4 linked regions of the Macaca mulatta genome follow. The protein of the gene in region 1 purifies or fractionates together with the protein of each later gene. This does not show direct contact. Links are inferred from orthologs where the notes say so. Each region holds a gene or a part of one and is shown in the gene's direction. Other genes may lie near its edges.

Evidence for each region.
Region 2: the proteins of CD9 (region 1) and IGSF8 purify together in Homo sapiens (affinity purification with mass spectrometry; 5 studies listed by BioGRID and IntAct, counting the BioPlex papers as one, with this or other methods). This does not show direct contact. The link is inferred for Macaca mulatta from reciprocal best matches to the Homo sapiens genes CD9 and IGSF8.
Region 3: the proteins of CD9 (region 1) and ITGB1 purify together in Homo sapiens (co-immunoprecipitation; 5 studies listed by BioGRID and IntAct, with this or other methods). This does not show direct contact. The link is inferred for Macaca mulatta from reciprocal best matches to the Homo sapiens genes CD9 and ITGB1.
Region 4: the proteins of CD9 (region 1) and PTGFRN purify together in Homo sapiens (co-immunoprecipitation; 8 studies listed by BioGRID and IntAct, with this or other methods). This does not show direct contact. The link is inferred for Macaca mulatta from reciprocal best matches to the Homo sapiens genes CD9 and PTGFRN.

The regions. Positions count from the first base shown.
Region 1 is NC_133416.1:7,161,868-7,169,481, forward strand, and holds the end of CD9 (CD9 antigen), read left to right. Parts: coding exon of another isoform or gene 1-3; intron 4-423; coding exon 424-498; intron 499-2,592; coding exon 2,593-2,691; intron 2,692-2,841; coding exon 2,842-2,931; intron 2,932-3,878; coding exon 3,879-3,962; intron 3,963-6,058; coding exon 6,059-6,124; 3' UTR 6,125-6,450; downstream 6,451-7,614. UniProt on the Homo sapiens protein: Integral membrane protein associated with integrins, which regulates different processes, such as sperm-egg fusion, platelet activation and aggregation, and cell adhesion.
Region 2 is NC_133406.1:106,787,969-106,794,468, forward strand, and holds part of IGSF8 (immunoglobulin superfamily member 8), read left to right. Parts: exon of another isoform or gene 1-12; intron 13-261; exon of another isoform or gene 262-373; intron 374-431; exon of another isoform or gene 432-614; intron 615-3,045; coding exon 3,046-3,455; intron 3,456-4,145; coding exon 4,146-4,607; intron 4,608-4,753; exon of another isoform or gene 4,754-4,855; coding exon of another isoform or gene 4,856-4,897; intron 4,898-4,986; coding exon 4,987-5,394; intron 5,395-5,623; coding exon 5,624-6,037; intron 6,038-6,043; exon of another isoform or gene 6,044-6,112; coding exon of another isoform or gene 6,113-6,268; intron 6,269-6,379; coding exon 6,380-6,495; 3' UTR 6,496-6,500. Other genes in the region: KCNJ9 (G protein-activated inward rectifier potassium channel 3), read right to left, coding at 6,113-6,268. UniProt on the Homo sapiens protein: Member of the immunoglobulin superfamily (IgSF) that links tetraspanin-enriched microdomains to the actin cytoskeleton and plays several important roles in innate and adaptive immunity.
Region 3 is NC_133414.1:34,304,363-34,311,976, reverse strand, and holds part of ITGB1 (integrin beta-1), read left to right. Parts: intron 1-573; coding exon 574-669; intron 670-969; coding exon 970-1,059; intron 1,060-2,585; coding exon 2,586-2,753; intron 2,754-2,925; coding exon 2,926-3,125; intron 3,126-7,614.
Region 4 is NC_133406.1:123,366,782-123,375,128, reverse strand, and holds the start of PTGFRN (prostaglandin F2 receptor negative regulator), read left to right. Parts: upstream 1-2,831; 5' UTR 2,832-3,122; coding exon 3,123-3,171; intron 3,172-3,502; exon of another isoform or gene 3,503-8,347. UniProt on the Homo sapiens protein: Inhibits the binding of prostaglandin F2-alpha (PGF2-alpha) to its specific FP receptor, by decreasing the receptor number rather than the affinity constant. Functional coupling with the prostaglandin F2-alpha receptor seems to occur.

The DNA.
Region 1 (7,614 bases):
CAGGTACCTTTGCCTTCTTCTTCTTCTTCTTCTTCTTGTTTCAAATCTGTTTTGATCTTTTCCAAACTCCATGGAGTGGATTCACTCCCTTTACTTCCCCAAATCTCTGCGTCTTTTGTGAGCAATGGTAGTTTCCTGCTCACTGACTCTTAACTAACGCCTTGTAAATGCTAGTTCTGGGGGGGCTCGGCTGTGCTCAGCTCTTTCCTCATGTCCGGGCACCTTGCCTCACTGTGGCCTCTGTCCTGGGCTTGGTTAACTGCCTGTTCTGTGAACTTCTTCCCTGCCCCTTCTAGGCTATTCATTTGTGCCACCAGATGCCTGTTCCCCAGGGAGTTGTCCTTCCTTGTCCCAAAATACCCTTTGATTTTCCTGGCTGGTTGGCTGGGACTGTTCTCACCCCGTCCCCTCGCTGCCTTCCAGTTCTTTGGCTTCCTCCTGGTGATATTCGCCATTGAAATAGCTGCGGCCATCTGGGGATATTCCCACAAGGATGAGGTAGGTTTTTCCCATGAGATCTCTTGGGTTTGGGAGTTGGGGGATGGGGGACAGTGAAGCAGGGGGCAAGTCCTGGCTGGGCACTTTGTTCCGCTTTCAGCTGTTGACCAGGCCCCTTATCTCATCGCGTGCCTGTGTGCCAGCGAACATGCCCTCCTCAGGGCAGGGAATGTCAGCACGCTTACTGTCCTGTGCGAGATTGTGTCAGTCATGGTGTTGGCTTATAGTAGATGTTCAGGAACTACCCGTTGGGCCTGTGCGTGTGTGTGTGTCTGTCCGTCTCACACCTCAGCAGCCCTCTCCCCCAACTTTTAGAAAGATTACTCAGAAAATACAGGCTTTCTGTGGGCTGGACACCCTTGCCTCCTCCTCTGATCTATAAATAACACGTTCAAGTGCTGCCCCCATGAGCCAAGTGCTGCCCCCAAGCCTGTGCAAGGTCCACAGATGTTTGAACTATGGGCCCCACTTCCGGACACTTGGCCATCTAGTATGGGAAAAAGACATGAAATCGACAAGGGTCATAGAGGTGATTTATATCCAAAGTACTATGGGATTTGAAAAGGTGGGGTGGGGAAGGGAATCTCTTTTGACTTCATAGACAAGGGAGCCGTGAAACCTTGAATGAGAGATGTGTTCAGGAGGAAAGTTAGTGGAGGCAGGGGACTTCCAGTCAAAGAGGTTGAGCATGGCTGGGCTTGGGCTTACGTGGGGAGCCCTGCAGACTTTTGGACCAGGATGGGCCATATCAGAGTAGTGTTTTTGGAAGGGCTACCTTGTCATGTTCAGCAGGAAGGGGGAAGGAAGAGAGATGCAGGAGGCAGGAACCCTATTGTTTTGTTTTGTTCTTGAGACTAGTCAAGTACGGTAGTGGGAAGCAGGGAAAAATAGAACAAGGACTTCCATCTGTAACTGACGTGAGCAATCCATTGAGATAACTCACTACTTTTAGACCAGCCAAGGGTCTAATATTTTTATTAATATTTTTAAATATTTTTTAATATTTTTATTAAAAAATATTTTTATTAAAAAAGTATTTAATACTTTTTAATATTTTTATTAAAAAATAAAAGTAGGCCAGGCGCGGTGGCTCAAGCCTGTAATCCCAGCACTTTGGGAGGCCGAGACGGGCGGATCACGAAGTCAGGAGATCGAGACCATCCTGGCGAACACGGTGAAACCCCGTCTCTACTAAAAAAATACAAAAAACTAGCCGGGTGAGGTGGCGGGCACCTGTAGTCCCAGCTACTCAGGAGGCTGAGGCAGGAGAATGGCGTAGACCCAGGAGGTGGAGCTTGCAGTGAGCTGAGATCCGGCTACTGCACTCCAGCCTGGGCAACAGAGCGAGACTCCGTCTCAAAAAAAAAAAAAGTATCCAAGCAATAACAGCTACAGCCATAGAAATAGGAATGGATCATTGTGAAAAATGTCAGAAAGATGCTGAAGGAAAAATGCTGGCTGTTGGTCTGTTAACTGGATGTGGGTGAGCATCAAAGGGACAGATACGCATCAAATTGGGATGTACCAGATGCAGGCACATAATAATATATCCCCTATATTATAATACAATAGCTGACACGTCCTCCAGATTTACTCTGTACTGGACATAGTGGCAAAGGGCTTAACGTGCAATATCTCATTTAAATTCTCACAATAACTTATGAGCTATAGAGACAAATGTGGAAACTCCGTACAGAGAGGTTTAGTAATTTGCCAAAACTCATACCTAAGTGAAGAGAAAAAGAAGATGGAAGCCTGAGGAAATAGTCAAGTCAGGAGTAGTAGTTTTTAAAATATTATTATCCTTTAGAGCATAGAGATTCAATTGAGGAGCAAAGCAGAGCTGAAGAACTGACCAAAGTATAAGACACAGGGAGAAACAGCCAGAGCGGGTTTCTGGAGGACGTGGGAGGAGATGGGAAGTGCCCAAAGGCCCCGAGAGAAGGCAGTGCTAGCAGCTGCCATCTGCCCAGTGATGTCCAAGCACGTGGCTGAGAGCTTAAAGAGAGAGAACAAGATGGAACACGTAACATTTGTTCGTGGAGAAAGGTGTGAAAATGCCGCCTCTGCCCCTCTCTTGTCTGCCCATCGTAGGTGATTAAGGAAGTTCAGGAGTTTTACAAGGACACCTACAACAAGCTGAAAACCAAGGATGAGCCCCAGCGGGAAACGCTGAAAGCCATCCACTATGCGGTATGTGGCCTTGGCAGAGACACCCTCCTGCGCTCACTCCGGACCGTGTCTGCACACAGCGGTGCTGACTGTACCAGACCAGTGCAAACATTCTAATCATCTTTTTTAAAATGTGTTTCTCTCATCCCCATCCCTGCCTTCTCGCTGTAGTTGGACTGCTGTGGTTTGGCTGGGGGCGTGGAACAGTTTATCTCAGACATCTGCCCCAAGAAGGATGTCCTCGAAACCTTGACCATAAAGGTAAACTCAGAGCAAGATCCTGGTGCCCCTGCACCATTACTGTGGGCAAACCCTGCGAGCATAAAAGTGACAGCAGCCAAGTGCTGCCTCAGAAAGACCCGGTCTGCCTGTGAAAGGGTCCCAGGGCACCCATCTCTTTCTCCCCTACTTTGGGCCCTCTGTTTACTGAAGGGCAATAAAACAAAAGGCCGGGCGCGGTGGCTCAAGCCTGTAATCCCAGCACTTTGGGAGGCCGAGACGGGTGGATCACGAGGTCAGGAGATCGAGACCATCCTGGCTAACATGGTGAAACCCCGTCTCTACTAAGAAATACAAAAACTAGCCGGGCGAGGTGGCGGGCGCCTGTAGTCCCAGCTACTCGGGAGGCTGAGGCCGGAGAATGGCGTGAACCCGGGAGGCGGAGCTTGCAGTGAGCTGAGATCCGGCCACTGCACTCCAGCCTGGGCTACAGAGCGAGACTCCGTCTCAAAAAAAAAAAATAAAAAATAAAAAATAAAATAAAACAAAGGCCAGACCAGGGGAACGACAAGTGCTCTGGCACCGCCCACTGCTGCCAGCCTGGAAGCTGTCGAGGGCAGGCGTGCTTCTGAGTCTTGGACTCCCGCTCTGACTTTGTCAGTGCCTCCTGTCTGTAAGCTGGAGTTAATGTCCAGCTCCAGAGTAGTAAAAAGTGACCTTACAACCGTATCAGAAATAGGCCCCCAAGCAGGGCCTGTCCCTCCTCCTTCCCTGATGTCCTGCCCAAATGTTTAGCATCCATTAGCATAGCCATCCCTTTGCTCCCCTTTCCATCCACCAGCCAGAACTTCTCTTATCCCTGAACACCCCTGTCCCCAGCCCACCCTCTGCCCACCAGTTCTCCCGGGTGAGACGGGTGCCATGGGAGGAAGGAGGTGCCCCGGGAGCAAGGATTGTGTGTCACCCAGGTCTTGGTTTGTCTCCCCAAGTCCTGTCCTGATGCCATCAAAGAGGTCTTCGACAATAAATTCCACATCATCGGCGCAGTGGGCATCGGCATTGCCGTGGTCATGGTGAGTGGCGGGATGTCGTCCCAGGAGGGGGACTGAGGAATTCACACTGATTCAGCCCATGCTCTGCCCAGATACTGCCGCAGTCTGTGCATTTGTCAGCTCACTTTGTCCTCGTGCCCTTAGTATTTCCATTTTACCACTAGGGAATGGAGAGACAGAGAGGCCGCCGTTCTGATCAAAGCCTCTCACCTCCTGAGTGGAGTATCTGAGGTTTCCCCTGGGTTTCTTCAGAGTCGACTCTCTTAGCCATTAAGGTTCAGGGCACATGGGCAGCAGTGCTGGCGCTGCTAGTCCTCAGAGCATGTCTCCTCACACACCTGCTGTTCTTCTCCCTAAGAAAGGAGTTCACTAGAGGCTACCGGCATGGGAATTATTTCCTGAAGAGCCTCTGAAAATGGGCAGCCAGAAGGAGGTCTCCTGCTAATCAGCCCCTAGAAACCAACAACGGCCAACCAGGTTCCTTGGGGTCATGTCCTCTCTCCCCGTGAGGGAAAGCCCCAGACGGAACATGGTCCTCGCTGGGATGGCCTTGGCTCCCTGAGTCTTCCCCCACCCCCGCCCGCTTCTGCCCCCTTGCCAGACTGCCCCCAAAGAGAGAATCGCCTCCTTTCTCCGGCATCTAAGAAAGGCATGAAGTACCTTTCAGCAAAAGATACAATAATACTTTCTTTCTTTTCTTTCTTTTCTTTTTTTCTTTTTTTGAGACGAAGTTTCACTCTTGTCACCCCGGCTGGAATGCAATGGTGCGATCTCGACTCACTGCAACCTCCACCTCCCAGGTTCAAGCAATTCTCCAGCCCCAGCCTCAGCCTCCTGAGTACCTGGGACTACAGACCTGTGCGACCACACCCAGCTAATTATTTTTAGTAAAGATGGGGTTTCACCATGTTGGTCAGGCTGGTCTTGACCTCCTGATTTCAGGTAATCTGCCCACCTTGGCCTCCCAAAGTGCTGGGATTACAGGCGTGAGCCACTGTACCCAGCCAAGATATCACAATACCTTTTAAAATAGAATATTAGGCCGGACGCGGTGGCTCATGCCTGTAATCCCAGCACTTTGGGAGGCCCAGGCGGGCAGATCACAAGGTCAGGAGATTGAGACCATCCTGGCTAACATGGTGAAACCCTGTCTCTACTAAAAATACAAAAAATTAGCTGGGCGTGATGGCAGGCGCCTGTAGTCCCAGCTACTCGGTAGGCTGAGGCAGGAGAATGGCGTAAACCCGGGAGGGCGAGCTTGCAGTGAGCCGAGATCGCGCCACTGCACTCCAGCCTGGGGGACAAAGCGAGACTCCGTCTCAAAAATAAAAAATAAAAATAAGGCCGGGCGCAGTGGCTCACGCCTGTAATCCCAGCACTTTGGGAGGCCGAGACGGGCGGATCACGAGGTCAGGAGATCGAGACCATCCTGGATAACACGGTGAAACCCCGTCTCTACTAAAAATACAAAAATTAGCCGGGCGCGGTGGTGGGCGCCTGTAGTCCCAGCTACTCGGGAGGCTGAGGCAGGAGAATGGCGTGAACCCGGGAGGCGGAGCTTGCAGTGAGTGGAGATTGCACCACTGCACTCCAGCCTGGGTGACAGAGCGAGACTCCATCTCAAAAAAATAAACAAATAAAATAATAATAATAATAATAATAATAATAAAATATTAACACTTTGGGAGGCCGAGGCAGGCAGATCGCATCACTGCATTCTAGCCTAAGCAACAGAACAAGACTCCGTCTCAAAAAAAAAAAAAGGAATATTAAATACACACAAAGACAAGCGCAAAAGTACTAACCTGTATGAACTGTAGGAAAACCTGGAATTTGAGCATTTAATTTGGCTCTGAGCTTCCTTGTCCCACCCTGAAAGTTCCCAAGGAAGCTGCTTGTGCACCTGACTGCCAACCCCCCAGATTCCTCACGTCCCGCGTCCTTCTCGTTATCTGGCCTGCATCTCTCCTGCTTCGGTACCTTCTGACTCGTTTGGCCTCCTGGATGCCATTCTCCTTGTCATTTGTCTTGGACTGGGTGACCCGTGTCTCTACCTTTCCCTCAGCCTGCCTTCACATCAAACCACCCTGATCCTCATGTTTCTTCCTATCTCCCAGATATTTGGCATGATCTTCAGTATGATCCTGTGCTGTGCTATCCGCAGGAACCGCGAGATGGTCTAGAGTCAGCTTACATCCCTGAGCAGGAAAGTTTACCCATGAAGATTGTTGGGATTTGTTTGTTGGTTGTTTGGTTTTTGTTTTTGATTTTGTTTTTTTTTTGCCACTAATTTTAGTATTCATTCTGCACTTCTAGATAAAAGCTAAAGTTATTTTATGTTTGTCTTTTAATGCTTCATTCAATATTGACATTTGTAGTTGAGCGGGGGGTTTGGTTTGCTTTGGTTTATATTTTTTCAGTTGTTTGTTTTTGCTTGTTATATTAAGCAGAAATCCTGCAATGAAAGGTACTATATTTGCTAGACTCTAGACAAGATATTGTACATAAAGAATTTTTTTGTCTTTAAATAGATACAAATGTCTATCGACTTTAATCAAGTTGTAACTTATATTGAAGACAATTTGATACATAATAAAAAATTATGACAATGTCCTGGACTGGTTTTGGTTTCCTTTAATTATTTTGAGAGCTATTTGGTTTGCAAATGTCTTTCAACTGCTATTAACTCTACCTGCATTTATATGAGAAGTAGTTTGGGCAGTTGCTCACCCCAGTTTGTTTACTAATGAAGACATCTAGATGTGGAAAGATTAAGGGATTCTGATCCAGAGTCACACAGGTGTTAACAGAGGAGTCAGCACCAGCAGCTGGTGCCCAGACGCTCATTCAGCAGTGTGACACGTATATCTTGGGGACATGACAGTACACGTCACACCATGGTGGCAGAACTTTGTTTTATTCACTGCCTAGCCCCCAGTTTCTGGTGCATAGTAGTGCTCAGTATTTTTTTATCAGTGAATATTTGTTGGTTGAATGAATAAATGAGTGTGTACCCATCAGGGTTTCATCAGAGAAGCAGAACCACTAAGAGGTACTTGTTTGAAGAGATTTGTTGTGGGAATTTGACCTTAACACAGTCACTGGCACTGGGGCTGCTTAAGCAGGCTCTGCAGACAACTGGGAAGGACAGACGGACGTAACGTAAGGGAGGACAGGCCCGAGCGGGAGCCCTTGAAGGCAGACACATCCGTCTGTGTCAGTTCTTTTTTTTTTTTGAGACAGGGTCTCGCTCTGTTGCCCAGGCTGGAATGTCATGGCCCAATCTCAGCTCCCTGTAGCCTCCCAAGTAGCTGGGACTACAGGCATGAGCCATCACACCCGGTTAATGTTTGTATTTTTTGTAGAGAAGGGTTTTGCCATGTTGCCCAGCCTGGTCTTGAACTGCTGGTCTCAAGCTATCCACCCGCCTTGGCCTCTCAAAGTGCTGGGATTACAGGTGTGAGCCACCGCACCCGGCCCTGTGTTAGTACCTGCCTCTGCTGAGGTGAGCCAGCAGAGAAGTCACAATTCGTATGAGCTGTGAAATGACCGCTGCTTCACTTCCCACCTCCAAACCTTCCACAAGTTTCTCCTCTGTGCTCTACTCTTAACCGGAAACACACAGGAAGAGAATTCTGGGAAGTGTGGTTCAGCTTACCCAGGTGGACAGATC
Region 2 (6,500 bases), on another chromosome or scaffold:
ACATCCTCCTCCGTCAGGGGTACCTCCAGCCTCCCCGGGGTCGGCGGCCAGCTGCGCTTTGTGGCTGCCCGCCGAGCCAGTCTTGGGAAGAGTGCAGGCTCCCCAGCTCTAAGTCAGGGAGTGGGGCACAGGGAGGACCCACTAAAGTGCTGCCCCAGGCACTGCTTGGCCTCCTGGGGCAGGCCCCACTTCTCAGCTAGCATACCCACGTCCTGGGGTCGCTGCACCAAATGCTGCGACTCCTTTCTGCCCCACACTCAGCTCCAGGCCTGGCCTTGGGTGCCCGCCCTGCGTGGGCAGTGCCTGCCCAGCTTCATAATTGCCCTAGAGTTGGCTGGAGGCCCAGAGGCCAGTTCTGCCCACGATCTTTGAAGTAAGTCTCTCCCAATTGCGCTCCACACACTTCATCAACTGGGGGCAGTTCTCTCTCTCACCCCCATCTCCATCCCAGGTTGGGTCCCTCTTTGCCCTTCTTCCTCTCTCCCAAATGGCACTTGGCTCTGCAGCCACCCATCAGTTTTCACACCCGCTTAGTTCCAGCTTCCTTGCCTCAGGAGAAACCAGGTTCCATGGAGACTGATCCTGGGATCTCAAAGCACCTTGTGCCTGCTGTGGTGGGTGTTCATGGTGGGTTGTTCTGGGCTAATCTTGCATGGATGCCTGGGGGTAATGACAGTGGAATTGTTTTTGGCCTGAACTGGAAGGCTGCCTGTAGGAGGTGGTCTGGGGAAGAGTATGGCGTGGAGAAGTGAAACTGCCAGTACAGATGTTGATGAGGCTGAAGCCCTTGAAATGAGAGTGAAGCGTGGAGGTGGGGATGGTGACTTCAGAGCTGCTGTTGTCAAGGCAGAGGCTGAAGGTAGCCCCAGCTGCCTGTTTCTAGACCAGGGCTCCACAGTGGCACCAAGCAAAGCCTTCCCCTGCTGCAGGTCCCTGGGCCCTGCAGGGCTAGGATGAGTCCTCTCCTTGGTCCCTGGGCAGGTGGCAGGAGGATGTACAGAGAGGAAGGCTCTGTGGGACCTGGGTTGCCTAGCACTTGCTGTGTTTTCCCCAGCGGGCAGCATGGAGCAGGGAGGAGCCCAGGGAGGTGGGGAAGTGCTGGCCTGTGGTTGAAAAAGGAGCACGCAGACGTCTGAGCACCCACTGCCTGTGGGCACTTACATTCATTTCACAAGTGAGGAAATTGAAGTAACTTGCCCCAGAGAGCACATTTAGTGAGTATTAGGGCTAGGATTTGAACACAGATCTGATTCCAAAGCAGGCCTCTTTGCTCTCCCTTTCCTCGCTGCAACTAATACAGAGGAGGTGAGAGAGAGCTGTGTGGCAACTGATTTCCTAAGGCTGTGGAGGTAACTTTCCCATGGGGATCTCCAAGCATCAGCAGTTGTGGAGCCAGGAAGATGGGAGGGGGCCTTCTGAGCAGTCTGCCCCGAGGCAGTCAGGGAAGGTGTCAGCTTGGCCGTCTCCACCATCACCCTGATTATGAAACTTGCCTGGCCTGGGGCAGGGCTCTCCTGAGTCACATACGCACTCATGCATGGTCAGAGCTGGAGCTCTTAGTTCTCCTCCAGTGTGGAAACCGAGGCCTAGGACAGAAAGAGACTGGATCCCATGCCACACAGCTGGGCATGGGGATGGTGCTGGAATCTCACTTCCTGATTGACAGCCTGTGCCCTTAACAACAGACCATGAGTTCTCCCTGTGACTCAGCCAGAGGATAAAGGAAGGGGCTAGGAGCCCAGCAGCAGGGGTGGGGAAGTTCAGAGGAGCCATTCTAGAGAAGCTGGAGGGTAGAGTTTGACCACAGACTCCTGGGCATTTTCCTCTAGCTTCTGCAGAAAGTCCATGGTATCCCCCTGGGAGGCCTAAAAGTGACACTCTGGTTGGTGAGGTCAGTCCCTTCAGGCCTGGCCTTGGAGTTTCCCCATTTTCCTCCCTGGTTTTGCCCCTCTGGAGGAGGGTGTGGAAGCCATCTAGGGACAGCATGATCTTGGCTAAGATATTATACTTTTCCTGCCTTACCTTTCTCATCTGTAAAATGGGGAGGGGGGGAGGGGTAGCCTAGCCCTCTTTACATTCTGAGGTTCTGCGATTTTATCTAGTGGGAGCTATGGAAGGAGAGAAGGGAGGAGCTAAGCCCTCTAAGTCTGCCAGGAGTATCTGCTGGGGTAGAGTTGGGCATAGGGGTGGAGTAGGGTGAAGAAGAGAGGTTTGACCTTTCTGAAGGGAGAGAGATGAGAAGGGGCAGCTTGGGATTTAATGCCTCCCTACAGAAAGAAAGCCATATATGTAAATGAATGCATACCATATGCAAATGAAGGCTTTGTTAAGGAACTGGGGCAGGCGCCTTGTGTGTCTGCTGGGCTAGCCAGGAAGGTTGGCAGGCACTGGAGGAGGGGATCTTCTGCCCCAATGGCGAGAGCAGAGCCTGGACCTTGCCCCAGAAGCCCCAGCTGCCTGGGCAGCCCTGTGGGGTGAGAGAAGCAGTGAGCTCATTGCGCAGCTGGAGGGGGGAGGGCATTGTGTGGTGAGAACTGACTGGGCCTGTGCCCTTTCCAGCTAGGGTCACTGGCTCCATTGTCTGGTCCAGGTGACACAGCTGAGCCAACTAGCACTTCTGAGCAAGACTGCCAGCTCCCCTCAAGCAAAGGGGAGGGACATGTAGTCTCAGCATCCCCCAGCCAGAAGGCTCCCCTGGCCAGGCACTGAGGAAGGAATGGCAGACATGGAGGTGGGTGAGTGGCAGGGACAGATCAAGGTTTAGCTGGAACCAAAGCCTGGTTAGGTCAGGAATCAGATGTACTCCTTTCTGCCTTCAGGCGCTCTGCTTCTAGTCCACCAGAAATGGGATGCATCTAGGTGCCAAGGCAATCCTGGGCCCGTGCCACCTTCTTGAGATCCAGGTGTCTTATATCACAGCATCCCTTTCCTATTCTCAGAACAGGGTCCAAGCTGTGGACCATCTTCCCCAGGTGTCCTTTCCTTTTGTAGGCAGAGATCAAGAATGGTGCTTGTGGTGGCAGAGGGCATGGAATGGGGAATCAGGCATCTCCAACTTCTTCTGCCTTTCCCTACAGGAATGGGATGCTGGGCCCGGGAGGTGCTGGTCCCCGAGGGGCCCTTGTACCGCGTGACTGGAACAGCTGTCTCCATCTCCTGCAACGTGACCGGCTACGAGGGACCTGCCCAGCAGAACTTCGAGTGGTTCCTGTATAGGCCTGAGGCCCCAGATACTGCACTGGGCATTGTCAGTACCAAGGATACCCAGTTCTCCTATGCTATCTTCAAGTCCCGAGTGGTGGCGGGTGAGGTGCAGGTGCAGCGCCTACAAGGTGATGCTGTGGTGCTCAAGATTGCCCGCCTGCAGGCCCAGGATGCTGGCATTTATGAGTGCCACACCCCCTCCACTGATACCCGCTACCTGGGCAGCTACAGCGGCAAGGTGGAGCTGAGAGGTACTGGGCCCTGGGACGGGGTGGGGCCACACACCCTCTCAAGGCAGAAAGTCAAAGCCACAAGTGACCTATCTAACTGCCCCTTAGGTTTTGTAGCCAAGGAACTTGAGGCCCAAAGAGGTTAAGTGACTTGCACAAAGTCGCCCAATAACTCAGTGACTGATATGGGACTCAAACCCAGATTGCCTCACCCAGGCCAGTGCTTGTCTTATCATATCAAGACCCCTCCTGGGAGATGAAGGGTCCTTAAGTTGTCCATTCCCCTTTCCATTCCCAAGAACGAGGAAGACTATTGGGTTGAATAGACTCTACTACTGGACAGTACAGGACCCAGATCTGGCAAAGAGAGTAGAGTTAGGGAAGGAGTGAGACCGTGTGACATTCTCACTAAGTTTCTTTGTGTTCTGAGAAGGAAGACAGAACCACTTTTCTCAGTATTTCAAACAGGGGTCAGTCTCGAACATAGAACCAACATGGGCTGGTTCTATGAAATTCAACAAGTATTTATTGAGTGCCTGTGCTGTGCCCAGTACTGCACTTGGCACCACTGAGTTACAGAGGAAATAATACAACATGCAATCTTTGCCCTCTGAGAGCTCACAGTCTATTTAGGGAGATAGGCTGTACACAGGAAACAGTAACAAGGGCTGCCAGCTCCCAGCCCTCCCTCACTCCAGCTGTTCTCTCCAGTTCTTCCAGATGCCCTCCAGGTGTCTGCTGCCCCCCCAGGGCCCCGAGGCCGCCAGGCCCCAACCTCACCCCCACGCCTGATGGTGCATGAGGGGCAGGAGCTGGCACTGGGCTGCCTGGCGAGGACAAGCACACAGCAGCACACACACCTGGCTGTGTCCTTTGGGCGATCTGTGCCTGAGGCACCAGTTGGGCGAGCAACTCTGCAGGAAGTGGTGGGAATCCGGTCAGACTTGGCCGTGGAGGCCGGAGCTCCCTATGCTGAGCGACTGGCTGCAGGGGAGCTTCGTCTGGGCAAGGAAGGGACCGATCGGTACCGCATGGTAGTAGGGGGTGCCCAGGCAGGGGACGCAGGCACCTACCACTGCACTGCCGCTGAGTGGATTCAGGATCCTGATGGCAGCTGGGCCCAGATCGCAGAGAAAAGGGCTGTCCTGGCCCACGTGGACGTGCAGACACTGTGTAAGTACCACTTATACATCCCACTGTGGGAGCTGGGAGGGACAGTATCCTGGTGGGTGCTGTGGCCGCAGGGGGTACCAGAGAGCTATCATCTGACTCCAAGGAACTCATCTTCCACAGAGTGAGCAGCCTTGTTAGCATTTCTTCCCCCTCTGCCCTTGATGGGTTTTCTCTGCTCAGAAATTGGGTATAGAGCTAGGAGGCCCATGGCTGAGGGGTGAGATTCAAGCCCCCAAGTAGAAAGATGATCATACCCAGTGAGGGGCAGACAGGAGGTTTTGAAGTTGCTGCTGTCAAGGAGGAAACAGAAAATTGGGAATCAGGTGCCTCTGTGTCCCCTCCTGCCTCCATGACACCTCTTCCCCTTCCTGTGTTTCAGCCAGCCAGCTGGCAGTAACAGTGGGGCCTGGTGAACGTCGGATCGGCCCAGGGGAGCCCTTGGAACTGCTGTGCAATGTGTCAGGGGCACTTCCCCCAGCAGGCCGTCATGCTGCATACTCTGTAGGTTGGGAGATGGCACCTGCGGGGGCACCTGGGCCTGGCCGCCTGGTAGCCCAGCTGGACACAGAGGGTGTGGGCAGCCTGGGCCCTGGCTATGAGGGCCGACACATTGCCATGGAGAAGGTGGCATCCAGAACATACCGGCTGCGGCTAGAGGCTGCCAGGCCTGGTGATGCGGGCACCTACCGCTGCCTCGCCAAAGCCTATGTTCGGGGGTCTGGGACCCGGCTTCGTGAAGCAGCCAGTGCCCGTTCCCGGCCTCTCCCTGTACACGTGCGGGAGGAAGGTGAGAGGGGGCTGGGCCCTGGACAGGGTTTGAGGATTGTCAACCCCTTTTCCTTCTGTTTCCATGCCCCCCTCCCTCTCCATCGGCTGCTTGCATGCCACAGCCTCACGCTCCTCTTCTCCCAATATTGTGGGAATACCCTGAGTTTCCTGCGGCGGTGCTTGGCAGCAGCTCTGACCCCATGCTCCCTGGCCCTGCACCCTCTGACCCCATGTCCTTTGTTCTGCAGGCGTGGTGCTGGAGGCTGTGGCGTGGCTAGCAGGAGGCACAGTGTACCGGGGGGAGACTGCCTCCCTGCTGTGCAACATCTCTGTGCGGGGTGGCCCCCCAGGACTGCGGCTGGCCGCCAGCTGGTGGGTGGAGCGACCAGAGGACGGAGAGCTCAGCTCTGTCCCTGCCCAGCTGGTGGGTGGCGTGGGCCAGGATGGTGTGGCAGAGCTGGGAGTCCGGCCTGGAGGAGGCCCTGTCAGCGTAGAGCTGGTGGGGCCCCGAAGCCATCGGCTGAGACTGCACAGCTTGGGGCCCGAGGATGAAGGCGTGTACCACTGTGCCCCCAGCGCCTGGGTGCAGCATGCTGACTACAGCTGGTACCAGGCGGGCAGTGCCCGCTCAGGGCCTGTTACAGTCTACCCCTACATGCATGGTAAGTGACACCCCTCCACCCTCTTCGCTCTGCCTTCCTGCCGGCCCCTGCTGCTGGCCTTCCCTTCCCATCTTCTCACCCTCCTGCTACTATCTCTCTCCTCCACATCCTGTCACATGAAGTCTCAAAAAATCCAACTTCCAGCCCTGCAGTGCCCACCTGCATGGGGTCCTCTGTGGTTGATGCTGACTTGCATGCTGAGAGGGCAGGCTGTGGGCAGGGATGGGGTGCCTGTGAATGGAGAAGGTGGGTTCAGAGAACTTGATGGGGAACGTGTAGAGGCAAGTGTGATGGGTGGAGGATGATGGCATCCTCTCTGAACAGTCATACTCTCTCCCCCAGCCCTGGACACCCTGTTGGTGCCTCTGCTGGTGGGTACAGGGGTGGCCCTAGTCACTGGGGCCACTGTCCTTGGTACCATCACTTGCTGCTTCATGAAGAGGCTTCGAAAACGGTGATCTCT
Region 3 (7,614 bases), on another chromosome or scaffold:
AACTCCCTGCCCACAGCATTTGGTAGCACAGTCAGTACTATTTCTAAATAAATAATTTATCTAGTCTCATACTCTTTGTCTTATATGATTTTTAAAAGCAGTCACTCTGCCTTTATTGAAAAGAAATATTGGCAAAAGCATTCAGGTTCTAGAAGAAATCCAAATGGGAAATCTTGGTCTTTTTCTTAAGTTGTAGATAGTAGAATATTTGATTACTGACTATTCTTTAATTTCATTGTCCCTATATTTAATATACATAGATAATCTTACTATTTAAAACCTTTTGAATATGGAATTTTTTGTTCAAACATGAAAGAGAAGAGGATTAGCAATTCATGTATACACACTACTCACTTCAGCAGTTTATATTTGATATTATTTGAAAGCAGTCTTGTAATCTAGTTATATGTATGCAAGAGATGTACTCTAACTATATATAAATTACATATGTAATCTAGTTATCTAAAGCAGTCTTGTAATCGAGTTATGTATAATCTTGCATGTATGACTAGATTGAAAAATTAGATTATAAGGGTGTATTTACATACTAAAATATATTACTTGATTTCTTAGGATTATCCTTCTATTGCTCACCTTGTCCAGAAACTGAGTGAAAATAATATTCAGACAATTTTTGCAGTTACTGAAGAATTTCAGCCCGTTTACAAGGTAAATGTGTGAGATAAAAAGAACAAAATTCTAAATATTTTTGGTTGAGTTGTTAGAGGCAAATCATGTCTGAATTGAAATGTGGGAAAATGCCACCAGATAGGCAAACCGAATTTTACAAAAGTGGTTTATATTAACTTTTAATTACATATTATAAAACTGGTTTCTAGGTTTGACTCCTAAAGTTAGTTAGGATGAGACATATGGGAACTGGCATTTAAAGATAAAAGTTGCTCAGTAGATGCTAATTGGTTGAATGAATAGTAGATGTATTTTACGTGTTTTATCTTTTAATTGCAGGAACTGAAAAACTTGATCCCTAAGTCAGCAGTAGGAACATTATCTGCAAATTCTAGTAATGTAATTCAGTTGATCATTGATGCATACAATGTGAGTACATCTTAAATAAGATCAGTTTTGGACAATACCCTGTTGAGAATACTTTCTTCAAAGAAAGTGAAACTTCCTTCATACACACCTTAGCGAGCCCAAAGTACTACAGAAATCTTAAATCTTAAAGGCATATTCTGATAGAATAGATGACTTTTCTGATAGAAAAGTTGTGTTTTTTTTTTTTTTGGCCAATTCTTTTCCCATATATTCAGAGGATATAGGTTTCTATTCAGGAGGTACACATACACTCATATATACATATACCATAAAATACATAAAAATGTAAATATATGTGTGATTTGCCTATTTCAAAAAGATTTATAGTGTTGTTTTCTCCTCACAGATGGGAGGAAGTTGAATTGAAATTAAAGAGGAATTGGCTTCTCCTTTTTGAGCATAATTCAGTGTACTTCAGTCACACTGAGTTAGCCTTAATTAGTGATCATTTAAATAATCTGAAGGCAATTGTAATATTATGGTAACCCTTGTGTGCCTCGTGCACCGCTTTCAGCCCCCATCCCCCTAACCCTTTGGCAGCTTGAATTTTAGACATTTTTACCTCATGTCATGGGGGTACCATAATACTTTGGAAAGGCCTGACTCGGAGGGGTTTTTACAAAGGTTTTTAAGGTTTTACTGGTTCCACAGCTTTTCCATTCTCCCCTGTTAGATAATTTTCGTAACCCCTGTTTTTCAGGGGTGTGAACAAGAGATAGCTTGCCATTTTACCCTTCTCCATTTGTCCTGAATAGTCTCATACGTTAAACAAGCACTGGTTTGAATCCTTGGGGGATTTTGGGTTTTTTTGTTTGTTTGTTTGTTTTGGCTGGGCTACAATGGTTCCTTAAGCAAATTTGTTCCTAGACTGCATAGTTGATTGTTTACCCTAGTCTGTAGTTAGCTGGAGAGGTAGAACTGCAGAAATGCCATTTTGCCAATGGGGAAGACAGCATTTATTTCACTTTTTTTTTTTTTTTTTTTTTTTTTTTAAGATGGAGTCTCGCTCCTGTCTCACCCTCCCGAGTAGTTGGGATTACAGGTGCATGCTGCCACGCCCGCTTATTTTTTTTTTAATTTTTTTTATTTTTGTATTTTGGCAGAGATGGGGTTTCACTGTGTTGGCCAGGCTGGTCTCCAACTCCTGAGCCCAGGCAGTCCACCTACCTCTGCCTCCCAAAGTGCTGGGATTATAGGCGTGAGTTACCACGCCCAGCCTGTTGCACATTCCTAAGACTTCTCCTGATCAGCAGTGGCCCTCCACACTGTGTGATCCTGAGTATTTTAACTCAGCGGTTAAAACACGAATACTCTTTTCAGTTGTGTATTTTATTTTACAGATTGGATCCTTATTAATTAAAACCTATTTCTCTGGCCTCTGTGTTTTCTAGTTGCTCAATTGGATTTGGCTTGTAAATATTTTATTGAAATATATTTTTTTCTGAATAGTTTATTTATCCATTGGTTTTATGCATTCAAGTAGATTTTGTTTGACTTTTCCTGTGTATAATTAGGCATTCTTTTAGTCCCTTTCCTCAGAAGTCATTTTGGAAAACGGCAAATTGTCAGAAGGAGTAACAATAAGTTACAAATCTTACTGCAAGAACGGGGTGAATGGAACAGGGGAAAATGGAAGAAAATGTTCCAATATTTCCATTGGAGATGAGGTATGTTGTATTTCCATTGGAGATGAGGTATGTTGTATAATATAATGTATGAGGTATATATTTTCTGTAGAAAACATTGGTTATTTATAAGCAAAGTTAGTTTGTACTTTGAGAAACATTAAAATAAGTGAGCAACTTTTTGAAATATTTTTTAGTAGATTTAAATTGCTTAGTTGTTAATCTTTTTTTTCCCTTCAAGGTTCAATTTGAAATTAGCATAACTTCAAATAAGTGTCCAAAAAAGGATTCTGACAGCTTTAAAATTAGGCCTCTGGGCTTCACGGAGGAAGTAGAGGTTATTCTTCAGTACATCTGTGAATGTGAATGCCAAAGCGAAGGCATCCCTGAAAGTCCCAAGTGTCATGAAGGAAATGGGACGTTTGAGTGTGGCGCGTGCAGGTAAGCTGGGCATTGTCAGACAGTGACATAGCTACATTGGTTTAGAGAGTACAGGCAGGTCATATTTTGGGACATCCAGAGAATATCTCTCTATTTGGAGCAAATATTTTTTCCAACCACGGTTGCTCACCACAAGATCAGTTTGATGATCTTGTGTGTGATATTTATATAAAGTTCCTTCCTGCCTTTTTTTCTTAAAGTGATTACTCTTTAAAATAAAAGATTTTATAGCCATGGAAGAAGTATATTCAACAAGTTGTCAAGGTAGTGTTTCTCTCATGTGAGAGCAATCTGAATTTATTAGAACAAAATAAGCTTATGTAAAATATGTTTATAGAAAAATAAAAACATCAAACCGGTGATGGTGATTTTGTTGGGGAAATGGAATTATGAAGCAATAGAAGATGTTTGTCTTGTACTACATGTACTTCTGCATTGTTGGAATTTAAAAAAAAATAAATATGTGTTGTAAAATAAAAAAGAGAAAATGGTATTTTCAGCATGTAGTGTCTAATACTAAGAAAACTAACAAAATTACTTCAGATTTTATTTTCACACTGTGGTTATTTTTTGTAATTGAAAATTAAAAACTGAGTATACTTTGAATACAGCTTTCTCCGTAAAAGAATAGGAAGAGGGGAGAGTGTTGAATCCAGTGTTAGCCCCAAATGACTAGGCTTAGAAGGCTGTTGACCATGAAAGAAATACATGGCTGTAGCTCACTATCAGTTTTTAATTGTCTGTGCTAAGTAATAATTTAAATGTTAGAATTTTTTTATCTTCCATGTTGTACATATCCTGTTTTAATCATGCAGGCCCATTTTTAGTAAATGTCATTTAACCAAAAAGATTATCTTGAAAATACTTTGCCTTTCTTTCCTTTATATTTTTACCAGATACAGAATCAGTGCAGTCAGTGTCCGTGAGCATTATGTGTTCTAAAAATACACAGGGAACCTGAAAAGTCTGCACCTGTAGGATAAATTTGTTTTTAAATAGTATACTAGTTATATTTTTAAGTGGTATGCACGGTATGTTTTTCTTCAACTTCCATACACTTTTTTGCATGTGTAATTGTATTTTTTTAGGCTAACAGACCATTGCTTTAAATTTAGACAGTTCATCTGGAATAGTAAATGTAATAGCATATACTATTTGAAAATGTAACTAATGTACTCTTTAAGTTTATTCTGCCTTTCCACATGTGTCATTCACTATTTATTGCTAGATTACATTTTCATCTTGACCAAAATGGTTACTTTCCTGAATAAATTTTTTTCCTAGACTCTTGCACATATTCCGTATGAACTCAAGTTCATACGGAACTGAAATGTACATGTGTGCCTGTGTATATTTGTCCATGCTGGCACATGTGTGTACACTTTACCACATGTCTGTGACATGTGGCATGGACACTCCCACCTAATAGATTGGTAGCTTGAAGAGATTTTTTATAGTTTTATTTCCTTTCCCAGTTTTTCTCTTTTAAATTATTTTCCCCTCCAAGATTCTTCTTCTTCTTTTTTTTTTTTTTTTTATTATACTTTAAGTTCTAGGGTACCTGTGCACAACTTGCAGGTTTGTTACATGTGTATACATATGCCATGTTGGTGTGCTGTACCCGTTAACTTGTCATTTACATTAGGTATATCTCCTAATGCTATCTCTCCCCCCTCTCCCCACGCCCTGGCAGACCCCGGTGTGTGATGTTCCCCAGCCCGTGTCCAAGTGTTCTCACTGTTCAATTCCCACCTATGAGTGAGAACATGCAGTGTTTGGTTTTCTGTTCTTGCGACAATAGTTTGCTGAGAATGATGGTTTCCAGCTGCATCCATGTCCCTACAGAGGACATGAACTCCTCCTTTTTTATGGCTGCATAGTATTCTATGGTGTATATGTGCCACATTTTCTTAATGCAGTCTGTCATTGATGGACATTTGGGTTGGTTCCAAGTCTTTGCTATTGTGAATAGTGCCGCAATAAACATACATGTGCATGTGTCTTTATAGCAGCATGATTTATAATCCTTTGGGTATATACCCAGTAATGGGATGGCTGAGTCAAATGGTATTTCTAGTTGTAGATCCTTGAGGAATCACCACACTGTCTTCCACAATGGTTGAACTAGTTTACAGTCCCACCAACAGTGTAAAAGTGTTCCTATTTCTCCACATCCTTTCTAGCACCTGTTGTTTCCTGACTTTTTAATGATCGCCATTCTAACTGGTGTGAGATGGTATCTCATTGTGATTTTGATTTGCGTTTCTCTGATGGTTAGTGACGATGAGCATTTTTTCATGTGTGTTGACTGCATGAATGTCTTCTTTTGAGAAGTGTCTGTTCATATCCTTTGCCCACTTTTTGATGGGGTTTTTTTTCTTATAAATTTGTTTGAGTTCTTTGTAGGTTCTGGATATTAGCCCTTTGTCAGATGAGTATATTGCAATAATTTTCTCCCATTCTGTAGGTTGCCTGTTCACTCTGATGGCAGTTTCTTTTGCTGTGCAGAAGCTCTTTAGTTTAATTAGATCCCGTTTGTCAATTTTGGGTTTTGTTGCCATTGCTTTTGGTGTTTTAGTCATGAAGTCCTTGCCCATGCATGTGTCCTGAATGGTATTACCTAGGTTTTCTTCTAGGGTTTTTATGGTTTTAGGTCTAACATTTAAGTCTCTAATCCATCTTGAATTAATTTTGTATAAGGTGTAAAGAATGGATCCAGTTTCAGCTTTCTATATATGTCTAGCCAGTTTTCCCAGCACCATTTATTAAATAGGGAATCCTTTCCCCACTTCTTGTTTTTGTCAGGTTTGTTAAAGATCAGATGGTTGTAGATGTGTGGAATTATTTCTGAGGGCTCTGTTCTGTTCCATTGGTCTATATCTCTGTTCTGGTACCAGTACCATGCTGTTTTGGTTACTGTAGCCTTGTAGTATAGTTTGAAGTCAGGTAGCGTGATGCCTCCAGCTTTGTTATTTTGGCAATGTGGGCTCTTTTTTGGTTCCATATGAACTTTAAAGTAGTTTTTTCCAATTCTGTGAAGAAAGTCATTGGTAGCTAAATGGAGATGGCAATGAATCTGTAAATTACCTTGGGCAGTATGGCCATTTTCACGATATTGATCCTACCCATGAGCATGGAATGTTCTTCCATTTGTTTATGTCCTCTTTTATTTCATTGAGCAGTTTGTAGTTCTCCTTGAAGAAGTCCTTATCCCTTGTAAGTTGGATTCCTAGGTATTTTATTATCTTTGAAGCAATTGTGAATGGTAGTTCATTCATGATTTGGCTCTCTGTTTGTATGTTATTTGTGTATAAGAATGTTTGTGATTTTTGCACACTGATTTTGTATCCTGAGACTTTGCTGAAGTTGCTTATCAGCCTAAGGAGATTTTGGGCTGAGACAGTGGCGTTTTCTTTTTCTTTTTTTTTTTTTTTTATTATTATTATTTTTAATTTATTTATTATTATTATACTTTAAGTTGTAGGGTACATGTGCATAACGTGCAGGTTTGTTACATATGTATACTTGTGCCATGTTGCTGTGCTGCACCCATCAACTCGTTATTTACATCAGGTATAACTCCCAATGCAATCCCTCCCCCCTCACCCCTCCCCATGATAGGCCCCGGTGTGTGATGTTCCCCTTCCTGAGTCCAAGTGATCTCATTGTTCAGTTCCCACCTATGAGTGAGAACATGTGGTGTTTGCTTTTCTGTTCTTGTGATAGTTTGCTAAGAATGATGGTTTCCAGCTGCATCCATGTCCCTACAAAGGACACAAACTCATCCTTTTTGATGGCTGCATAGTATTCCATGGTGTATATGTGCCACATTTTCTTAATCCAATCTGTCACTGATGGACATTTGGGTTGATTCCAAGTCTTTGCTATTGTGAATATTGCCGCAATAAACATACGTGTGCATGTGTCTTTATAGCAGCATAATTTATAATCCTTTGGGTATATACCCAGTAATGGGATGGCTGGGTCATATGGTACATCTAGTTCTAGATCCTTGAGGAATCGCCATACTGTTTTCCATAATGGTTGAACTAGTTTACAATCCCACCAACAGTGTAAAAGTGTTCCTATTTCTCCACATCCTCTCCAGCACCTGTTGTTTCCTGACTTTTTAATGATCGCCATTCTAACTGGTGTGAGATGGTATCTCATTGTGGTTTTGATTTGCATTTCTCTGATGGCCAGTGATGATGAGCATGTTTTCATGTGTCTGTTGGCTGTATGAGTGTCTTCTTTTGAGAAATGTCTCTTCATATCCTTTGCCCACTTTTTGATGGGGTTGTTTGTTTTTTTCTTGTAAATTTGTTTGAGTTCTTTGTAGGTTCTGGATATTAGCCCTTTGTCAGATGAGTAGATTGCAAAAATGTTCTCACATTCTGTAGGTTGCCTGTTCACTCTGATGGTAGTTTCTTTTTCTGTGCAGAAGCTCTTTAGTTTAATGAGATCCCATTTGTCAATTTTGGCTTTTGCT
Region 4 (8,347 bases), on another chromosome or scaffold:
AGATTCCAGAGTCATGAATTAACAAATTGTGCCAGTCTGCTGTGAGTGCTTCTTCCTTTATCCATTGGTAGTCAGGAATGTGCAAAGGGTGTGGTGGTTATAACCAACAGTCTAGAGTTATCAATTTATGCTTATTTTTTGCTTAAAAAAATGGCTCTTTGGTTAACTCCCATGACAGTTAACTGCCAGCCACCAGCAGGCTACCCACTTCAGTTCTCATTCTACCTGCCTTACCTAGACAATTTTATTTATTCTCATCATTTCAACGGTTAACCACTGTTATTCCCATGATTGTAAGGTGCACCATTAATTTAATAACACCCGGGCGTGGGTGAGGCAAGAAGAATCTCTATCACACTAAATACACAACATGTATTGTAAGCTTATCCCTACACTCCACAGCTAAAGACCTACCAATTTTTCAAGACTCAATGCAGAGTCATGACAGCCTCCTCCTGGACTGGCCGCTCCCTTGTGGTGTCACGACTCTACCTTGCACATGCTATCACAATGCACAAACTGTAGGCTCCTCAAGGGCAGGAACTGTCTGCTTCATCCCTGTACCCCCAGGATTTAGCCCAGTGTGTGCCATTAATTCACTCTATAAATATACATTAGGACCTACCATGTGCTAGGCACAGTCCCTGTCACGCATTGTTTATTAAACAAAAGAGTTTTTAAAACATCTACTCTGCCATAAGGTGGGATACAAGGTGAAAATGTGACAGCTTCTTAGGCCCATGCATTATTAGACAGAGATGGGGGCAGTGTATATGTTTCGCTAAAATGAATGTGACCAAGTGCCACAATGTATGGTTCAGACATTAAGTTTTCTAGGTGGTTAAGAAAAGGAAAGATGAAGGATGAGCTGAAATCTGAGCTGCTGAAGGTGCCAGGCCTCACATTTCTCTGAAGCTCCACTATCTTCCAAGGCCTAACATTAGGCTTGCATTCAAGGTTGATTGAATGAAATTGGAAAACTTCCCTGAAAAATTCTAGGGAAGAATTGGGATGGGGAAGATAAAGGAATTACAGTGTGTATGAACAGAACCAGGAAAGGCTTGGTGGCAGAAAAAAATTTAAAAAAAAATTATTGTATAAAATGTACATAACACAAAATTTACCATTTTAAAATTACAACTTTTTTTTTAGAGACAGTGTCTCACAATGTTGCCCAAGTGGTCTCAAACTTCTAGCCTCAAAAACAAAGAAAAAAGAAAAACAAGAAAAAGTTTTGGCCCAGTGGCTCAGACCTGTAATCCTAGTCCTTTGGGAGGCTGAGGCAGGAAAATCGCTTGAGCCCAGGAGTTCAAGACCCGCCTGGCCAACATAGGGAGACTCCAGTGTCTACAAAAAAATAGAAACAATTAGCTAGAGTGTGGTGGCACACATATGTGGTCCCAGCTATTGAGAGGTGGAGGTGGGAGGATTGCTTGAGCCTGGGATGTCAAGGCGGCAGTGATTCCTGATCGCAGCACTGCACTTCAGCCTGGGTGACAGATCGAGATCCTGTCTCAAAAATGAAATAAAGAAAAAAGACAAAACAAATAAAAACTCCTGGTTTCAAGCAACACCATCCTTGCCCCCGCTCCCGGCCTCCCTCTACCCCCGCCCCCGCCCCCAACTTCAGTCTTCTGAGTAGCTAGCATTACAGGCACCAGTTACCATGCCTAGCAATTTTAAACATTTCTAAGTGTACCATTCAGTGCCATTAAGTACAATAACGTTGCACCACCAGGAATGAATTTTTAAGACTCTTTCCAAAGGGTTCATACCTGGCTAATCACACATTTGATAGTGGAAATAAGAAACATTTGTTGGTTGAAACACGGATGCATGAGAGTAAAAGTAATGTTCTTCCCCTGTGTGAGTGTGGGCAGTTTCCGCATAAGCATCTGTGATCCGTTTTCCACATGTGAATGAAAGCCCAGTGAGGGGCAGTGGGCACCAGTCCTGCTCCTTGCGTGTCTGAATCATGCTTGCTAAGTTTCAAGCAAGGAATGCTCCGTTTCTCCCAATACCCGTGGGGCCTTTTGTATTCAAATCAAAAGCACAAAACTCTATTGTGGGGGGAAGTATGAGTCTTTATTGGCAACCAGTGGTGTCCACTTAGAGCAAGAAATATGAAGTCTTAACAGTACATTCTATATGAAGTACTATAGCTATTAATACACTTGGGTTTCGTTTGTTTTTTAAATGGGTGTCTTTGTGTGGAGCTGTTCTAATCAGTGCCACAGGCGCTGAGGAGAGGGAGGGTGCTGGGTAAGGAGGAGGCAGGCCCACCCAAATCACCGGGGAGTGGGCAGTCAGGACAGCGGGGTTCTGATTTTGCCCCTTCCCTGTGAATCCTTGGGCACCTCACCGAAACACTTAAGGCCTCTGTATGGTAGACGTTGGAATCCGTGGCCTTCAAAAGTCCTTTCAGCTCCTTCGCTCCCATCTGCGTAATTTTTGGCATAGGCCAAGCGGCTGGTTGCTGGGGTGTTTAGCTCAGGACGCGAGGCCGAACGAGCGGGCAGTTGATTGAGGATAGACTAGACACGCGTGGGTGACTCCAGCGTGATGGAACGCGGGGTGTCCCGGGATAGGGCTAAAGCGAAGGGATTTCCAGACGAGTCTTTCCCAGGCCAACTTTTAAAGGTCGGAGGAAAGTTTCTCGTGGGGTGGGGGCCTAGAGGGGAAGGCAGGGTGGGCTCCGACGCCTCCTCGCCTTTAAGCGGGTGGCCCCTGCGCTTCCTCCGTTACCTGGAGCGGGGAGGGGCTTGGGAAAGTTTGTGTTTGTTGCTGGCAAAGCGCCGGATGGGAGGCGCGGGCGGGCGGGCGCTGCGGTTCTTCCCTTCTGCTTTCGGGAAGCGGTCGGGGCTGCACACTCGGATCGGCGGGGCCGGCTCCCGGGCCCGGCCGGCTGGAGGAGGGAGGGAAGGAGGCGGGAGGGAGCGAGCGGAGCCAGGGGCGCACGTACGCCCCAGCGCTGGGATTTATCGGCTCGCGAGGAGAGCGGAGCAGGCGCGCGGCCCAGGCGGAGGAGCGCCGACTCTGGAGCAGCCGGAGCTGGAGGAGGAGGAGGAGGAGAGGCGGCGGGGAAGGAGGAGGAGGGGGAGAGTCGCTCCCGCCGGGCGAGCATGGGGCGCCTGGCGCCGAGGCCGCTGCTGCTGGCGCTCCTGTCGCTGGGTGAGTGTGCGCGGGGCTCAGCTGGGCGCAGGGGGTCTGGCAGGGCCCTGGAGGGCTCGGCGGGGCGCGGCTGCAGCGCGCGGCCTGGGTCACTGAGGGTGCCCGGGCTGCTCCCGGGAAACCCGGCCGGGGTGCGCGGGCTGCTTGGCCCGGCGGGGAGCGGCCGCGGGGCCGCCCGGAGCCTGGCGCGAATCAGCCCGGGCCCCGCGCGCAGGGTGCAAGTGGCGGCTCCGCCAGGCCGAGCCTCGCCCCCAACATGTGCCGGGGGGAGTGGCCCGGGCCGGCTTTCCCCAGCCCTCCCTACCTGTTGGCCGCCGGGAGCCCGGCTCACCTTGAACTCCCGGCCCGGAAGGTGCTGCGGTCCCGGCCCGGGTCCCCCGCTCGAGAGCGGAAATGTGAGCCTTTGATATGCCCCGCCATAGCCGCCGCCGGCCGGGTCTCTCTTCGCCCAGCCCGCGCGGAGTTGCCTTTCCAGGGAAGCGAGAGAATCCTCCAACTTCCTTCCACGAAGGTCACAGGGTGGCCCGGAGCGTTACAATGGAAATCGGCGGGCGAGTCCTGCCGTCATTTTCGTCGTGGCTAGATTGTCTGTCTCAGTCTTTTCTTTTAGCTTTTCTTGAAGCTGCCTAGCTGCGTATTTATACACAAAGACCTAAGAGCCTGGCTTCTCCAACTTTTTCTACCTGTTACTTTTCCTCCCTTACTGTCCCCTCATCTTCCACCCTCCGGAAACCCTCGGTGCCCCGTGAGGTTTTGGCCCAGCGCCCTCCCCCCACCCAAGGAATCTTTTGTGGGTTTTTTCCCTCTCCATTTTCCATTCACTCCATACACAGACACCATCTTCACGTAGATCCACATGGTGATCCTAGCCAGCCACGGAAATATGTTTATTAAGTGCCCACCATGGTACCCCAGGGCCGACTCTTAAATGCTTTGATATTCTTGGATCTTTGTGGTCAGTGTCAACCAGGACAAGATGATTCTTATGACCCGGCCTGGGGTTCTCTTCCAAGCCCCTAGAGAAGGCAGATCTGAGTCTTTTACAGAGCGCATGGTGTGCGGTGTCCGTCCCATCCAGGTCCCAGCTGCACACAGGGCAAATGACTACTCTGCACTTATGGTCGGAGGGTCCCAGAGAAGGCCTTCTATAGCCACTCCCCTACTGGGGACACCGGGGGCCCACACTGCTCTAAGCCCCGTGACTCCTGCTGCTGGTAAACCAGCCTTGCTAGCTTCTGTTTTCTTCCTTCACCTTGAAGAGATTTTCTGAACTGACTCCCTCAGAGAGCTCGTCCAGCCACATTGCTTCAGCTTCAGCCCATGTGCAGAAAGCTTCCAGATCTTCCACTTAGTTTTATGGCATCTTTTCTATAGTCCCTGATCCTAGTGCTTTGTTTTTATTTTTGAAACAAAGCCTCACTCTGTCACCCAGTCTGGAGTTCAGTAGCACAACCATAGCTCACTGAAGCCTCAAACTCCTGGGCTCAATTGACTCTCCCACCTGAGCCTCCTGAAGTGCTGGGATTACAGGCATGCTCCACCACACCCGGTGGTAGTGCTTTTAATCTTTACTTTTCACTGCGGGACCCTTGTAAGTTGTATGTTAGTGGTGCACTGCTGTTATAGTCCACACACAATTTTTATTGACTGTGTGTGTCTAGGTCAAGCAGGGCCGTGGCCTGGGTTTGCACAGATTGTGCACTGTGCAACTTCGGGAGCTGCTGTTCACTTTGTAGTCTGTGTGAATGACTCCCCCTAGAGTTGTGCAGTTCTTTGAACAACCTGGGTACCAGTTATGAGGGTGGGATGAGGTAGAACTTTGAAAACTTTGAAAACAATGCCCTTGAGTAATCATAATGAGGGGGGAAGAGGGAAGGGGGCAAAGAGAGACTGACAAAAGCAAAATAGAAGTGGGGAAAGCACAGCTTGGGGAAATCTTGATTGTACTCCAGCATATCCTGTCCTGGCTGGATGCCTCCTATGAATTACACTGGGAATTTCTGTGGTGTCACTAGCCGGTGCCTTTTTACCTGACAGTTCTCTGAACCATTGATGACCCTCCTGATAACTCTGCTGCCACAGAATCTCACTTGGCGTGACTTCAGCCTGACCTCTGGGAAGGTCTCCCTGTGTTACACTACTCTAGCACTGTACTGATCCCTGAAATGTAATACATTGATAAGCAAGATCATCTTTTCTCCTAGGGAGTAACCTGAGTATAATCTTGGTATCACTGCTCTTTTTGACCTCCACATTCACATAGTCTCTCAATTCTTGCGTCTCCCCATAGCACAGACTCCAGCTTCTTCCTTTCCTTCCTGTTTCTACGGCTACTGTCTTAGCCCAGGTCCCAATTGTTTCCCACACAATTGGTGTCTTCGTGGTTGGTTATTTCCTCCAGCCTCCCTTTTAAGCTCATCCTTTTCCTAAATGATCATTTTTGGGGCTCCCACCTGTTCTCACTGGGTCCTTATGACTTTCCTCCAAGGAGATGTTGCCCCTAGTGTCCTCCCCTCCAGTCTTCTCTGGCTGACACACTTTGTTCTATCTAACCTGTTTGCTCTCCTTTATGTAGACTATATTAAACTTTCCGGCCCCTTCTACTTCTCACCTCTTGCCTGTGTATTAGTATTTCCTTTTTCCCCTAAAACTCACTTTCTCCATGAAGCCTTTCTAAACCCACCTACCATGATCCCACCAGAACCCACCCAGCCACATAGGGCAGGTTTCACATCCATTGCCTGTGTCTGATCTGTCTTGCCCGTCCACTCAGTGTGGCATTTCTTGAGTGGCCACTCAAGAAATGTGCCACATTCACAGAGAGAGTGCCACTCTGTGTGCAACCGTGTGTTCAATACTGGGAGTCCCAGACAAATGACCAAGACACAGCATCTGCCTGAGCGGCTGGTGGGTGTGAGTGGACAGAGAATAAAATAGCTAACCACAGGCCTGAATGAAATACCTGACGTGGAAACCAAGTGTGGGAAACAAGGAAGGGGATGATTAATTTTGACTTGGGGGTTGGGGCTGGTTTTGCTGAAGAGGTGACATTTGAGCTGAGCCTTGAGGATAATTAGAATTTTGAAAGAAAGGATAGAAGAGCATTCTAGGCTCTGGGGAAAAGCCTGAAGTGTGGATGAGTGAAAGTACATGGCTCATTCAGAAATGGCACGTAAGTTCTATGTAACTGGGAGGAGGAGGAAATGGGGGTGCAATTATTTGGGGGAGGAGGAAATAATGGGGGAGGAAAGGTGGGTTTGAGATAGATCCTGTAGGTTTTGCGTGCTGTGCTGAGGAGTCTGGACTGGGAGGGGTAGATTTCTTGGCGCTCTGGGTGCTGCCAGGCAGTCTGTGCCCTGTCATCAGAGCATATATTTACTTCATTGTATGTAATTGTCTGTTCCCTACTCCAATTGTTTCCCCTGGGGGCAGGGGCCACATTGGTTTTGTTCACTACAATGTCCCTATTACTAATAGGATATATAACCCATACTGGGTGTTTGTTACATATTGGCTGACTGAATACTTATAAATATATATGTCGTTTTATCTGTGGGAATGGGTAGCCATTAAAAGTTTGTAGGGCGAGATTAGGAGGACAGGGTGGTGTGTTGAGGAGGATAAACCCTCAACTAGTGCAACATAAATTGGAGAGTGGAAGGCACAGAGATTGTAGGGTGGGATTAACACATTTTCTTCATTTATGTCTTTATTTTGGTAAATCTATTGAGATACTTTTTTAAGTGTCAAAAGCATCACATCAGTATTTTAGAATTCAAATAATATAAAAGGACTTTGTATTAATCAGGTAGGCTAAACTGCTCTAACAAACTCGAAGCATAGTGGTTCAGACAATAGATGTGTCTTATATAACAATGTGAGGGAGATGCTTCAGAGGGAAGGGTTGGGTGGGAACCCTGCTTTCCACAGTCATTCTGGCTCCCCAGCTGGTGGCAGTTCCACTGTCTTCAACTCACAGTTTCTAAGATCACTTTGGTAGTCATCTTCACCATTCCAGCCCCTACAAAGGAGGAAAAGAGTGTGGAGTAGAATATATGGAGGCTTTGTGGGTCAGACTTGAAAGTGGCACACGTCATTTCTGCACACGTTCTATTGGAGAGACTTTGGGCCCGTGCCACACTAGCTGTAAGGAAAACTGGGAAGCCATGTGCCAGCTACTATGGAAGAAGGGAAGGACAGATTTTGAGGGAACAGCTAGCAGTCTCTGTGTTACTTATAGAGGATACAAGGTCAAAAGAAAAATCTGGGCTAAACATGTCAGCTCATGCCTGCAATCCCAGCACTTTGGGAGGCCAAGGCGGGAGGACTGCTTGAGATCGGGAGATTGAGACCAGCCTGTGCAACATAGTGAGACCCCCATCTCTACTAAAAAATAAGAAAAGTTAGCTGGGTATGGTGGCATGTGCCTGTGGTTCCAGCTACTTGGGAGGCTGAATGGGGAGGATCACTTGAGTCTGGGGGGTCAAGGCTGTAGGGGACCGTGATCGCACCACTGCACTCCAGCTTGCCCAACAAAGTGAGACCCTGTCTCAAAAAAAAAAAAAAAAAAAAAAAAAAAAGGAAAAAAATGTGTCCACCCTCCTGCCCAGGCACAGCCACTCCTGTCTAATGTGTGTGTGTCTCTGCATACTGAATATTTTGTTTGTTTTTTTTCCTCGTAGCTTCTGTACAAGGCTTTGCACCTAATGGGCACAGACTAATAATAGCTACTATTTCTAGATGGCATATCAAGCGTCAAGCTCTGACATACATTCTGGTATTTATTCCTCACAGCAATACTTTGAGAAAGTCACTATTATTTTCTCTTTATTACAGATAAGGAAACTGATGCCTAGAAAAGTTAGTTAACTGGTCTAGAGTCATACAGATATTCCCTAGAAGACCCAGGATCTGATCTCAGGACTCCATTCTGTCTCTTTTAAGGAAAAGTTGACTTATAGTCGCTAAACCTTATGCTGTGTGTTGCTTGAGATTAGTTTAGGTGAAGAAGGATAATAGTGGTTTCAAAGTGAAAGTGCACTTAAAAATAGGAGGATCCAGGATTAGTGCAGCCCAGGCACACTTCCTGAAGGGAAGGATAGTGCCAGCATGTACCTCAGAGGTGTGGCATCCCTGCAACCCTAGCAGGTGGCCATGTCGGCTCTGAGGATGGGCC